2 linked regions of the Caenorhabditis elegans genome follow. The protein of the gene in region 1 purifies or fractionates together with the protein of each later gene. This does not show direct contact. Each region holds a gene or a part of one and is shown in the gene's direction. Other genes may lie near its edges.

Region 1 (4,810 bases):
CCGTTATTTTCTTATTCAATTCAAAAAAGAAAGTGTAACAGGATGGGAGGAGTGTCTTTGAATGTTCTAAACCACTTTTCTCTACTCTTTTTTTTCGACACTGCTCTCGCCAATATTTGAAATTGAAAAAGTTGATTCTATTGAAAGCTTCCCCCATTTTTTTTCTTCCTATTTCGCGTTTTTGGTGTTAAAAAATTGTTGTAGGAATTTTTGAAAGTGATGGGAGATTAGTGTCAGCTTTTGCAGAAAAATTTGCATGGATATTTCTTGTAATTTACGATTCTTCCTATTTTGCATTAATGAAAACATTGAATACCAACTTTAAAATTCTCAAAAAATTACGGCCCTCCTTTATTTCCTCTCCCTCCCTCTCGAAAATCTCTCTTATCACCCGTAAAATATTTTCGGCTAATGCTGGATTACAACGCAATTTTCCAATTTTTATCTGTTTTATTTCCATTTAACGATGATGATCATCGTTGTATTTGAATAATTTGTTTCGGTTTTTGTAACCAGTTCCTCCGCCACCGCCACCAATTTTCCTTTCTTTTTTCCTATTTTTTCTCTTTCTCCCCCATTTTTGTGTCACTCACCACTGTTTTTTGTGTGTTTCTATTTTATTTTGGTGTCGTTTTCTTTGTTTTTTTTCTGGAATTTTATTTCTTTTCCAATGTTTCATAGCTGAAAATTGACGGAAAAAGTTTTCCCTTCACATTTTCAAAAACAATGTTACAGGTTTATCCATTGGAAACTTTTTCAACTTTGTTAAAACCCAGTTTTTAGAAGGTCTTTTAATATTTACAGACAATAACTTTAGCCAAAATAAATTAGACTTATCGTGGCGAGACCAGCTTTCCTACAATAGAAAATTTTAATGTTAAAGATACTTTTCAAGTTTCCGAAAATTACTGAGTTTTCAAACAAAAAAATTGCGTCACTCCAGGAGATTCTCTTTAAAGATTCTCTAAAAAAAGTTGTAATATTTGCAAATACCATTACGAAATCCATATATTATGTTGTTTATCACTTTCTTTGATTTTTGGAATTTTACTTTGGAGGTTGCGAAACTTAAGTTTCTGAACCAACTGAAGTAATAGTTAGTTTCTCCTAATTAGATTATCTTATCAGAAAAATTTCTCAATTAGGGATTTTTAAACTACAAGTTAGAAGTTACTCAAAATATTCATTAGGTTCTTCTAACCTGTGTATTATTCTATGTAAGCATTCTTTAATGGAAAGTTTCCTATCCGAAATTTGTTTTTATATTCAAGGCGTTTAGACTTGCAGGAAAGCTCAGCATTCCTTAAAATGTTTAAATTTGAAACATGTGGCGATTGTCCGAGAGATTTACTAATTTGTACCTACCGTATTTTTAAACTGGCACTTCATTACTAAACATTGGCAATTATTAGATTTTTCAAAAATATTAGTTAACTTTTTTTCTATAGGGGGGTGTAAACTTTTTTTTTAATTTCCACAGAGATTTACAACTGTAGAACCATTTTTTTTTAAGATCCAAAAAGTTAGGTCTTTCAATTTTTCATTTTATGATTCTCTCGGTTCTCCCGAAAAATTGCCAAACTTAATAAATTTCAAAAAGTCTGAAACTTTATTTTAAATTTTCTTATATTTGTAAATTTTACAGTTTTGACATTTAAAACGGGTCAAAAATTTTAAAATGTTGACAATACTCGATTTTATGTTTACCTTTCATACTTCTTCGATTCATTCAACTCATACTATTTACGCACTTTTTTCCAATTTTTTATATGTTTTCTCATTCACACTTTAATCAAATCTTGTCTTCCAGATATGCAAAGATGATAGTAGATTGTGACGATTGTGGCAAACAAATCGATTTAAATCAGTCATCAATTTCCAAGCCTTCTTCGTCAAATTCTTCGGACCATATTGTTGAATTATGGTGGTGTAGGGATTGTATATCGACTGTTTGCAAGTGAGTTTTATTTTTTATTTTTTATTTAAATTTTAAATTTCAAATTTCATTTACATATACCGGTATCAAGTATGATGTTTGCAAATTGATAGCAAATGTGGGAACAGTGGGGATTTGAAAAAAAAACAGGGGAAAATCTAAACGAGAGACTCTGGAGTGGAAGCATTGGCAGACATGATAAGACATGATACCCAGTAGATAACATTGAAAGCGAGAAAGGCAAGTGGGACGACAAATCTGGCATAGAAATCAATTTTTGCCGGTAGATAATCTGGTTTTGTGAAGTAACGGCGGACTTTGTCACGGAATGTCTCGCGGGCTTCGAACTGAAAAATTGACTTTTTTTCGCATATTTTTCTAACATATTTATGAGTATTTTTTGCAAGATTATTCCGGAATAGCGACTTTTACATAGGTTACTACACTTAAAAAAATAGCTACATACAATAACTTTTAAATGGAAAAAAGTCGACGTTTTGTGTTTTTAGTGGTATCATGCTGGAAGCTTTTTGGAAGCTGTTTGCATTTTGAATTCTTTCAATATTTGAGATCGTTTCAAAAAGTTGAATCTTTTTATTTGTCACCCAGTGAATTTATACAAAAAGTTTTTTTGTTGAATTTTTCAATAACATTGGCGAATTCCAGGACCAAAACTTTTTGATGATTGTTAAAATTCAAGGCTTAACCTACAGTATGACAGGTGCACGGTGGCTGATAGACTTCTGCATCCACCATTTCCAACTTTTCTCTCCTTCTCTGCGCCTTCCTTGCAGCTTTCTCTCTTGACCTGTCATTTTGCCGGACACTATCTTGATAACTGACAAATGCGTATTCCAGAAGTGCTCCGAATACAAATGTTTGGCACGCTGGAAGTTTCTTTGATTGTTAGATATATTAAAGGAGTTACTCACCTCCAAGCCAGACATCCACAACTTTTACGTAGCTAACTGGTGGAAGCTTGGCGTTGATTGCAGATTGCTGAAAGTTCTTTGTTGAAGTGCACAAATTATTTTTCAGTCCCTTACCATTGTAGTCATTGTAAGAAGCGTAGTGACTCCTAAAGCGACACGTCCAGCAGTTGAATGAAGATCAATCCAAAATGAAACCCATGAGACAATCACAATCATAGTGGTTGGAGCATACAGTTGTACCAAGTAATAACTGAATTGCCGTTTGAACAAAAGTTGCATTCGGAGACATCCATATGATCCTGTAAGAAATCTGGATTTAGTTCTTTATATAGGTTCTTCTCATCTTTTTGGAAAACCCCACAACTAAATTTAGCAACAATTTTTTAAACCCCCTATTTTCTATCGGAACTTGATTTCTGATTATTAATGTTTTCCCAATTTATTTGCAACAAAATTTGCCAAACTTCCCAACGGGCTTTTCTGCTCAAACCCCCAAAATACACTTCTTTCCGTGAAATCATTTGTTCAACTTTTTTCCCTTCATTTTCCCACGTCACAACAGCTATAAAATCCTCTCAAAAAGTGCAAAATCTGTTGACAAAAGCTCATATCTCTTCTCTCCCCCAATCGCCTCAAGAAGTTGCAAAAAATTTGTCTACCTGTGTTCGTGTGGCTTGTGCAATCTGCATTTGTTGTGTAGTTTTTGAGTATAAAATTGGGAAGATCCGAGCCAACGCCGGGTTTCAGTTGAACTGGTGTTGATGGATCCCACTCGTACATGATATCATTCATTGTGTGCGCGTAGCTGACAAGATCAAAGTTACACGATTGATAGTCGAGTGGGTAGAGTTGGAGACGCATTGGGCAGGAACTTGTCAAACTTATCCGGGAACTGTAGAGGATCTGAAAATTAAGGAAAAATTAGTAAATTAGAACCTGTTTTATAAAATTTTGGAAGTCAGATCTATCAAGATAAAAATCCACCGCAGATTTTGGCTCTAAAATTTTTTTACTTTGATTTTTTGAATGCGGAATTTTTCCGTTTAATTTTCAAAATCTTGTCCAGATGTGCGTTTCATTAGACATGTCATTTGATCAAGAAACTTCTTCCAAAATTGGGAATACTGGCAGTTTTCTATGCTACAAAAACAATAGGCATTTTTCAACATTTCCTTCATTTCCAGATAAAATTTCTTCAACTTAAAGTTTTCAAAAACTCACTTTTCCATCCGGATATATCCTCAAGAACATGTTTTCCATATCAATCAAATGTCTATGAGCTGCTTTTTCGGTCTGAAAATTCCAATTTTAACTTTAAAGTGAATATCAAACTAACGGGAAAGAATGTGTCAGGAATCCATAGACTCTTTTTAACATGTGGGACTGTGAGAAATGCCGGAGGATTGTAGAAACCCAAATTTTCATAGGCCAGTCGAGGATCTATCCATTGCTCGCGGAATGTTAGTTGAATTGAATATTCCTGAAACTTAGGAGTGAAGAAAGGATTTTTGTATGAACTGGAATTCGATTTTTTGTCTCCTATGATTATTATTGATATTAGCAATTTTTTCTGCTCCAGAACAAATTTCAAATTTTGGTGCTTTTTTAAAATGGAAATTGAACTGCCAAAAAAAATTATAAACACCTGTGAGAAATAATTTTTTTTGGTATTTTTTTGGTACTGTGATTTTTTAGGAAATTTTTTAATGTTATTTTTATTTAAATTAACATTTTTATTCCGAATCCAACTTACCATATTAACTACATCAATTTTCGATAGCATCCGAATCATAATATTAACACGAACATTGACAGCACCTTCCGTTGATGAGTTGGCCGGTGGTGGCCGTACCCGCATGTCATAATTTTTGAGCAACGCATTGAGAATCTCCTGCTCCGATTGCATACTGTACTCGCCATTTGTGACGACGGGCATCAGTAG
Region 2 (8,050 bases), on another chromosome or scaffold:
TGAAATTCGTTCATTTGAGCACATGTTGAGTGTATACGTTCAAAATATTCCAGAACTACTCCTCCATTACCAAAATTTTCAGAATGAACAATGAGAAACTGCAAGAACATTTGGGTGATTTGGAGCAACGTGTTGGACATTTAAAAATTCAGCCGGACTATGAGAGCCTTCCACCATTAAAGTGAACATTTTGATATTGTTTGTTTTTGTTCAAAGGTGAAGTAGAGTCGTTTTGAAATTTTGCTTTAAATCAGAGAAAATAGACCATAATTTTTTATTTTATTTTGGCGGAAACCGGCAGAATTAAATTTGAATTCCCGCGTATTTTTGAGTTTTTTTTTTCTTTTTTTTCTTTCGCATTTTTTCGTTAAGAAGACTAAAAAGACAAAAACCCATAAAATATCGTTTAGAAGAATTAAACAATTAAAAAAATATTTAACAGTTACATTAGGTTATTAGTGTTTATTTTCTGTCATTTAAAGCAAAATTCCAAAACGACTCTACTGCACTTTTAATGACACACGTCGTTTCAGTATACCTCGACTCGACATGACCGATATTGACAATGACGAGAACGGCACGTTGCACGAGTTTTCTGAAAGAAGTGTTTTATCGAATCTTTCTGAATTCGATCATGTACACCTTGCTGGTGCATTAGCAGAAATTGCTGGTGCTCATTGTGAGCGATTGCGTATGATCACTCAATCATAACAGACTACTTTTATTACTTCCCACTCTTTCCTGTCAATCTATCTATTAGTATACAACCTGTCTGATTTTTTTCCCCTGATGTGATAATTTTGAACACTGGTCAGCCCTTTTTCTATTTTCTTCCAATTAATTTGATTCTGCTGTGCAATCCCAATTGAGTGTGAAAATCTTTGTGTTGAAAACTGTACAATTTAGTTTATACTACATATTCGAAAATTAAATCCTTCTGAAACTTCTAAATAAATTTTTTTAAAATTTTTTAAATAAAGTTTTTTATTGTTTTAACATGTTACCTGGCAAAATTTAACCTCTATAAGTGGAGTGTCGCCACCACTGGGGAAACTGTTCAAAACTGCTTCTATTGTGCTGAAATTATCAAAGTCCACCGTAACAACTTTTCAAAAAAATTGTGCACTATTTCCTTACATATTAAATTGCGAAGAAAACTACAAAAAAAGTGACGACCCGGAACTTATTCCTCCCTAATATTTTTTACGATTCCTGCCAAGTGAGCGCATTTTTGGCATTACACGGTGTTTTACATTTTGTTCTCCATCTGTCAATCTACTCGATGCTCCTTTTTTCACAGTTCTGATGAAATGTATACATTCCAAACCACTTTTATCATCAAGTCATACATCACTGGAAAAAGGCATAGAGCAGCAGTTGTAACTGCTGATAATGCAAGTTTTTCATTGGTATCGGCGAGCATTACATTTCGTTTTTTTTCTGTTTCTTGAGCACTCGACTGCAAATTAACATTATTTGCTTTGTTTTTGTGGAATACTAATTTAATATGATTCGATTGTAGTAGCTGTACTTCAATTTTATTTTGTAGTTTATCAAAAATAAAACGTGAATTTTTTATTTTAGGCTTAAAAGAGGAGTATCGGTTTTAGATATAATAAACGAATAAGCCCAAAATGGGTTCAAATGAACAAATTTCGAATAAAATTAAACTTCTTTAAAACATTTCAAAATTATTTATGGCGGTCCAACATTTCGAAAACAATTGGTTAATTTTAGGTCACATCATTTCGTTATTTATAAATGTTTATAAATGTTTTGTTTATAAATTATTTATAAATGCAAAAAGAATAATAGTTCAATTTTTTGCGAAGTTTTATCACGAAATTTGTTAATTTGAGCACATACTCATCCTTGTAGAAAAACTTTTTATAAACTTAATAATAAAATAGGAATAGTTATTCACATTATGGAATTTCATTTATTGCGAACATTTTGAGATACTTATTAAACTATATCTATAGACCAAATCAAATTCTATCGAATTTAAAAATACAAAAAAAATCAGATCACATTTATTCTAATTTTCCAGATGATAACTTGAATGTTGAGCACATGAATTCTGACTGTGACCAACACATCAAGGTATATTTATATTTTTTCTAATACTTTAAATTTATACAATGTATACACATTTCAGAGTAGAGTTAGATATCATCAATCCGAATTTTGTACGAAACTAAACTATGTGTATACTTCTCGCCAGTGTGACGAATATTTCAACTATTTGGCTGAATTGAGAAGAATTATTTTTGGTGACAAACAATATTCGGAAAAAATGAAACCAAGTAAGTTGGAAAATAAAACCAGAAATGTAATGAAAATTGTTTCAGAAAACAATTGTGACCCAATTAGACACTCAATTCATTATCGCACACGGGACGGCAAAACTCTGGTTTATGAGTTGGGAAATACGTCAGACTACGGCATTAATCTTTTTGCAATACCGTCTGAAACAAAAACGGTTGCAACAAAAACGTATTATGCAGAAGAACACGTACTCACTCAGCCGGAGACTTGTCGAGTGTTACCTCTCACTCACTGCTTTCATCTTGTAAAACGTTCGTCAATTCAATTTTTTGAGCATTTTTTAAAATAATTGTTTCTAGAGCCATCGGACAACGTGAGCCCATCAAAATTACGCAATAAGATGTGTGATGCTCATCTGGGAAGCTCAAAAACATTTTCCACAAGTGAGTTAAAATATACATTGCTGGTGATAAAGATATGCACAAAAGCTCTTGCAAGAATGTGCTGTGAAGTTGCATGCCTTTATGACCAGCACTAATTGTAAAACAATTTTGTAAACCAAAATAAAAACATTCAAAAAACAACTAAATACTCAAATTTTCTAGATCAAGAATGTCTACAGTTGTCTCAACCTCCAGATGATCAAAACAACTTCCACATTATCGACCAACATTTGTGTTTTGCCTGTGTCGACGACTTTTCAGAAGAGCATGTTGGATTTGAAGACGCTGAAAGTCTGAGTGACGTGGTAGATGAAGATTTTGCAGTAATGGAAGAATTCGCGAGCGTTTTGGAGGAGACGGGATCGGTTTTTGAAGAGTTGGGTGATGATGATTCAATTGAAGACAATTGTTCCATATCCGATGATAAAGTGAACAGGATTGTGGGAATTGTGAAGAGACAAATTGAATTTTCAAAAGACAGACACAGTAGATCTGAAGAAAGAAATGTTTGTCATCTCCAGGATCAAACAATTTCTGAACAACCACATTTTCATTCAGCTGTGCTTGAAAAATCAGATGAAAACATTTCCTGGGTGCAGCTGCCCACATTTCAACTTCCATCACTATTTTCAAAACAGCCTATTCTCCCACCAAATGTGAAAATGGAATCGGAAAAACAAGAAGACGAGGCTAATTTTGATTATTCTTTACAATCAGTACCAGAACCGTCCAGTGCTTATCTTCCTCATGAAACTGATCAAAATCAAAGTAGTACTTCTTTCCCGCAACAAGAATCTGACAATGAAGATTCTGAGACAAGTTCTCCTGACACACCTGAAAACGGCAGTGTACTTGTGAATATGATTCAAGATTACGTTCAAATGGTAATGTCCGTGTCTCGAGAATTTCAACAGTCACACAGAGAAGAAGCCTCACAAGGTAATAAATGTCTTGCACGTGGTGTCAGATTGCCTCTTTTCGGCCTGATCTATGTAGATCTACAAAAAAATGCGGGAGAACAGACGCAGATTGCTCAACTGACGTCACATTTTTCGGGCAAAAAATACTCCCGCAATTTTTTGTAGATCAGCCCGTAATGGAAGACTCTGACACCACATGGTCTGGCTTATAACCATTTTTTATAATATGAGCGGTGCAATAAGTCCTGGGTCAAAATTCATAAATGTTTGGTAATTTGTTTTTTAAAGCGAAAACTTCCGAGCTCGTCAGTCTGGATCTACAGTTGCTGACATATGCTTCGAAAGCTGACCAGATAGAAGAAGGTTTGAAAAACAATTTTTTGAAATAAAATAATATAAGTTCTAGATCCTCGACTGATGCTGAGAAGATTGGCTCCACGAAAAACGTCAGTTGATAAATGGAAAAGTTCTACTTTGTTGAATGAAACTGTTAAACCCTCGGCTACTGAAAAAGAGAAAGTTTTTGAAAAATTGTCAGCAAATGGTGAAGACTACAGTAGAGAGAAAGCCGCCGATCAAGAGTCTACTGGAAATCATTTTTTTCGTACATTAACGTCTGAGCTTGAAATCAACCAACCGGGAATACCAAAAACTCCAGATGTTAGTTGTTTCTTTTCAGAAGACAGTGTTTGTTCTGAGTATGCTCCAAATCTCCAAGAAGAAAATCTTCCACCGGTTTTACTCAATTCGAATACGCAACCAGAAACCGATTTTGAATTTCAAGTAGACACATCAACTTCTGAAATTTTATCAGACCAATCAAATATGAACATCACATTTGAACCGATCGAAGACATCGCTGAAGATCGGCCAAAATTGAATGGAGAGGAAATTGTTCAAGTTCAGATCATGGAAAGCACTTCTAGATCCACTGCACCTTCAAACATTAATCTTTCTGAAAACTCTGACGTCACACCGTTTACTAGCAACTGGAAGGAAATAACATGTGATGTTGATTGTGAGGATACGTCACAGAAAGAGCATTGTGCACATTCAAACGCTATCACTCCCGAAACAGTTTTTGATATTTCACCAGAATTGGGAAAGAGCAAACAACATTGCATCGATAAACAAGCTGAATATAGCGGAAAACTTGTTCACTTGAAAAACCATATTGAAGTTGCTTCTGTTTTGGAGAGCATCCTGGTCGAAGTATCCAACAATACTGATTCTAATGCAACATTGAACTCTGCAACTTCTCAAGAAATCTTCGACGTGGTTGAACTTCTGCAAGTACCAATTGAGATTACTGTAGATGTGTTGCCGGAAATAGAAGACCAAAGCGATACTGAAACGTTCACACCTGAAGAAGCCACACCATCCGTATCTGTATTCGATGAAGTTCAGTGTTCCCTTTCTATCAGTATGGATACTACTCTAAAGACGGTCAATTCAAAGGTTTTAATCAACACGGAATTTTTACAAGAGAACTCGTTAACCATCAATGTCATTGATAGTTGTTATCACGAAAACATCCAAAACCATGTGCTCAGCTCAATAAATAACAATTTGGAAATTGTTGAAATTTCAAACAACATTTTGAGCAAAGCATCAAGTTACTCAGAACTCGTTGTTGATGATATTGTTATCACTGTTGTCCCAGATATGCTTTGTCATGTTACCTTTCAGGCTCTTCCACCAATTATCTCTAGGAAAGTCGATGAAAATCGAATTGGAGACGAAAATGTTCTTCTGAATAATTTAAATAATGTTACAATGAGAAGTGGGAGAAGCCAAACTCAACACTCAAAAATTTTTATCAATAAGGACGTCCACCATTTTTTGCAAGATCAAATCAACTTTCTGGAACGACAAGAACAAACAAATGATGCAGAGGACAGTATATCGGTTACATCCAGCTTTTCCACTTCAAATACGAACGATAACGATTTGCAATCTTGTGTTCCGCTGAGTATAGAAGAAACCTGGGACATTGAAGTTGGGCTGAACCACTTTTTGAATTGGCTACACGGTTTGTCCGAAAACTCAAGTGATGCTGGGCCGACTGAAGATTTTCCACAAAACACAATCAGTCTTGACTTTAACATAGAACATGAATTAATAGCATCAGAATTGCCGGAAAGAAAAGAGGCCACTGGAGATTCTGAGGGTGACAACAAGAAAGCGACAAAAACGTTTGAAAATAGTAAATCTTTAGCAAAGTGTGGTATGTCCAATTCAATGGATGTTCTCGAACCACGAAGTTTCAAGGAAAAAATTCAAGACCGGCGCTCTCAAACGTGTGAGCATTCTTCCGAAAATCAAGGTCTAGAAGAAGTCAAGTTAGAAAGATCAGAGCAAGATCCCAATTCAATGGCGTGCCTGCTAGAAATCAGCACAGCAGATAATTTCGAAAATGCGGAAAATCAGTTAGAATATGATCAACAATTGGTAGTTTTCAATCTGGACAACATACAAGAAGCCTGCGGACAAACGAACAACATAGGCAGCACTGAAACGAGTTCAAAATCAACTGAGCAATCCGAGGACATTGACAAACTCGATCATCATTTCGAGGATGCATGTGAGAGAAAGTATTGCGAAACTGATACAATGCTCAAGGAAAATCCAGACAGTACGAGGTACGCGGTATAATTATTGGGGAAAAAACTATGCTACAATATATTGTAAATTTAATCATGCGAAAAAAACCACAAAGCGGTTTTTACTAAGTTGCCGTGAAATGAGAAAACTCAGCCACCCTCATAACTCACGGTAGAATCAAAGGACACCCTTTCCAAGACTATTCTCGTTAAGTTTCAAAAATATGTACCGTAAAAAATCATAGATAAATAATTGCCCGAGTTTTTGATTTTTCTAGGCTACGGGGTATTTCCAGTATTTCCATATTCCTCAAAAAAAGATATTTTCAGAAAAATGGCAAAAAATCTCAATGAAAACGAAAGTGGTATAAACATTATAAAAGATTCCAACTCGGAATACAAAAGTGAAATTGCTGAAATGGATCTATTCTATGCCAACTTCGAAGTTCCGTTGCCTGATTCAAGTTGCATCAAAATTTCGGAAATGCAAAATAATCTCGCCTCATTGGTTGATCATCTTTTGTCTGATCAAATTCAAGCTGCTGTCCAAGAAGCTTCCAAGCTGATCTGTCACAGAATGATACCCCTCGCCAGAAATCAGTCTTGTAAAATCATTGAGGATACATTTTATACCGAGTATATTGCTGATAAAACAGCATCAGCAGTCACGGAAAAAGAAAACGTCGAAGATTGTACCGATACTTCATTTTGCGATCAATCAAGGTAGTTTTTGATATAACTGTGGTATGATTAAGATATGAAAAATTAAGGAATGTTGAGAGATGTTGCACTACGCTAGATACCGACAAAGCTGTGGTTAAACAATTTTTGAATAGAATGATGCATGATCTAGTCTCCGATGCAGTTCTCGAAGCGTGTCTGGTACCCGCACATTTTCCCGATTCAATTGAAACAGCAGTATGTGAGCATTTCGATTCTTTCCCAGATATCCCAAAGTTATTCTTGTCGCCAAAACTGGAGGATTTGAGCCAATCAACTTCACACAAACCAATATCTGAACTTCAGTCCAGTTCCTCAGAAAACAGGTAATTTTACTTTGATCTTGAAAATCTGAATAAAATTTTTTTTCAGAGTTTCTTTGAATGAAGTTTTCGAAGAAAAGATGTGTGACGTGTTAAGAGAAAATACACATTTGGGTAGCTTGTAGCGTTTTAAAAGGTTTCCTATTATACTTCTTTCAGAAACTAATGCAGATCGCGAGCCGTTTAGAAATAATTTATCAAGATCCAATTTGGAAACTTGTCAAAACATTATTGATTTGACACCCGAATCCAGCGATTCTAGCATTTGTGCAGAAGTATTCGTTCCGACAAACTCAACACCACCTTCGGAGACTTCCCCTACCGACATTAGTTTGAACTCTTCGGAACAGCAGAACACTTCTTCGGTACGTAAGTTCCAAAGCCATGAGACAGTAGGGGCCAAAATTCTATTCGTTTTTGGTTTTAAGGTTTTTTCTTCTTTTGTTCAAATTCTATAAGAGCTGAAATTTGAGGCTTATGTTCAATTTTTGTACAACTTTTCCCGGTCACCGTGTAAACTGTATGTAGATTACCAGTTAAGTGATTCGGACGTAATCACAAATATATGTAGTCCAAGTAATTAGCACCATTTTGTTAGCAAACGTATTTTGCGAACTATTATAGTAGTTACACATATTTTAACAGCTCAAGCAAAACCGATAGCGAAGAGATTATTCGATGGTCGGCAATGTACTATGTATATTAATTTAATGATTTTATAGGTATTAGAAGAAGTCTCATATTTCTTCACAACCGCGTGTGTTGCTGCACTT

The links.
Region 2: the proteins of F25F8.1 (region 1) and Y102A11A.3 fractionate together in Caenorhabditis elegans (co-fractionation; one large-scale study listed by BioGRID). This does not show direct contact.

What each region holds. Positions count from the first base shown.
Region 1 is NC_003279.8:4,883,093-4,887,902, forward strand, and holds the start of F25F8.1 (B box-type domain-containing protein), read left to right. Parts: upstream 1-1,810; 5' UTR 1,811-1,820; coding exon 1,821-1,957; exon of another isoform or gene 1,958-2,094; coding exon of another isoform or gene 2,095-2,283; intron 2,284-2,647; coding exon of another isoform or gene 2,648-2,823; intron 2,824-2,868; coding exon of another isoform or gene 2,869-2,935; intron 2,936-2,982; coding exon of another isoform or gene 2,983-3,167; intron 3,168-3,527; coding exon of another isoform or gene 3,528-3,771; intron 3,772-4,089; coding exon of another isoform or gene 4,090-4,161; intron 4,162-4,204; coding exon of another isoform or gene 4,205-4,348; intron 4,349-4,621; coding exon of another isoform or gene 4,622-4,810. Other genes in the region: glc-2 (Glutamate-gated chloride channel subunit beta), read right to left, coding at 2,095-2,283, 2,648-2,823, 2,869-2,935, 2,983-3,167, 3,528-3,771, 4,090-4,161, 4,205-4,348, 4,622-4,810.
Region 2 is NC_003284.9:2,017,098-2,025,147, forward strand, and holds the start of Y102A11A.3 (Protein unc-13 homolog A), read left to right. Parts: upstream 1-2,050; 5' UTR 2,051-2,073; coding exon 2,074-2,103; intron 2,104-2,158; coding exon 2,159-2,306; intron 2,307-2,351; coding exon 2,352-2,579; intron 2,580-2,627; coding exon 2,628-2,711; intron 2,712-2,873; coding exon 2,874-3,650; intron 3,651-3,919; coding exon 3,920-3,994; intron 3,995-4,037; coding exon 4,038-6,273; intron 6,274-6,564; coding exon 6,565-6,957; intron 6,958-7,004; coding exon 7,005-7,280; intron 7,281-7,326; coding exon 7,327-7,391; intron 7,392-7,436; coding exon 7,437-7,642; intron 7,643-7,999; coding exon 8,000-8,050. Other genes in the region: Y102A11A.9 (Lebercilin domain-containing protein), read left to right, coding at 83-181, 534-711.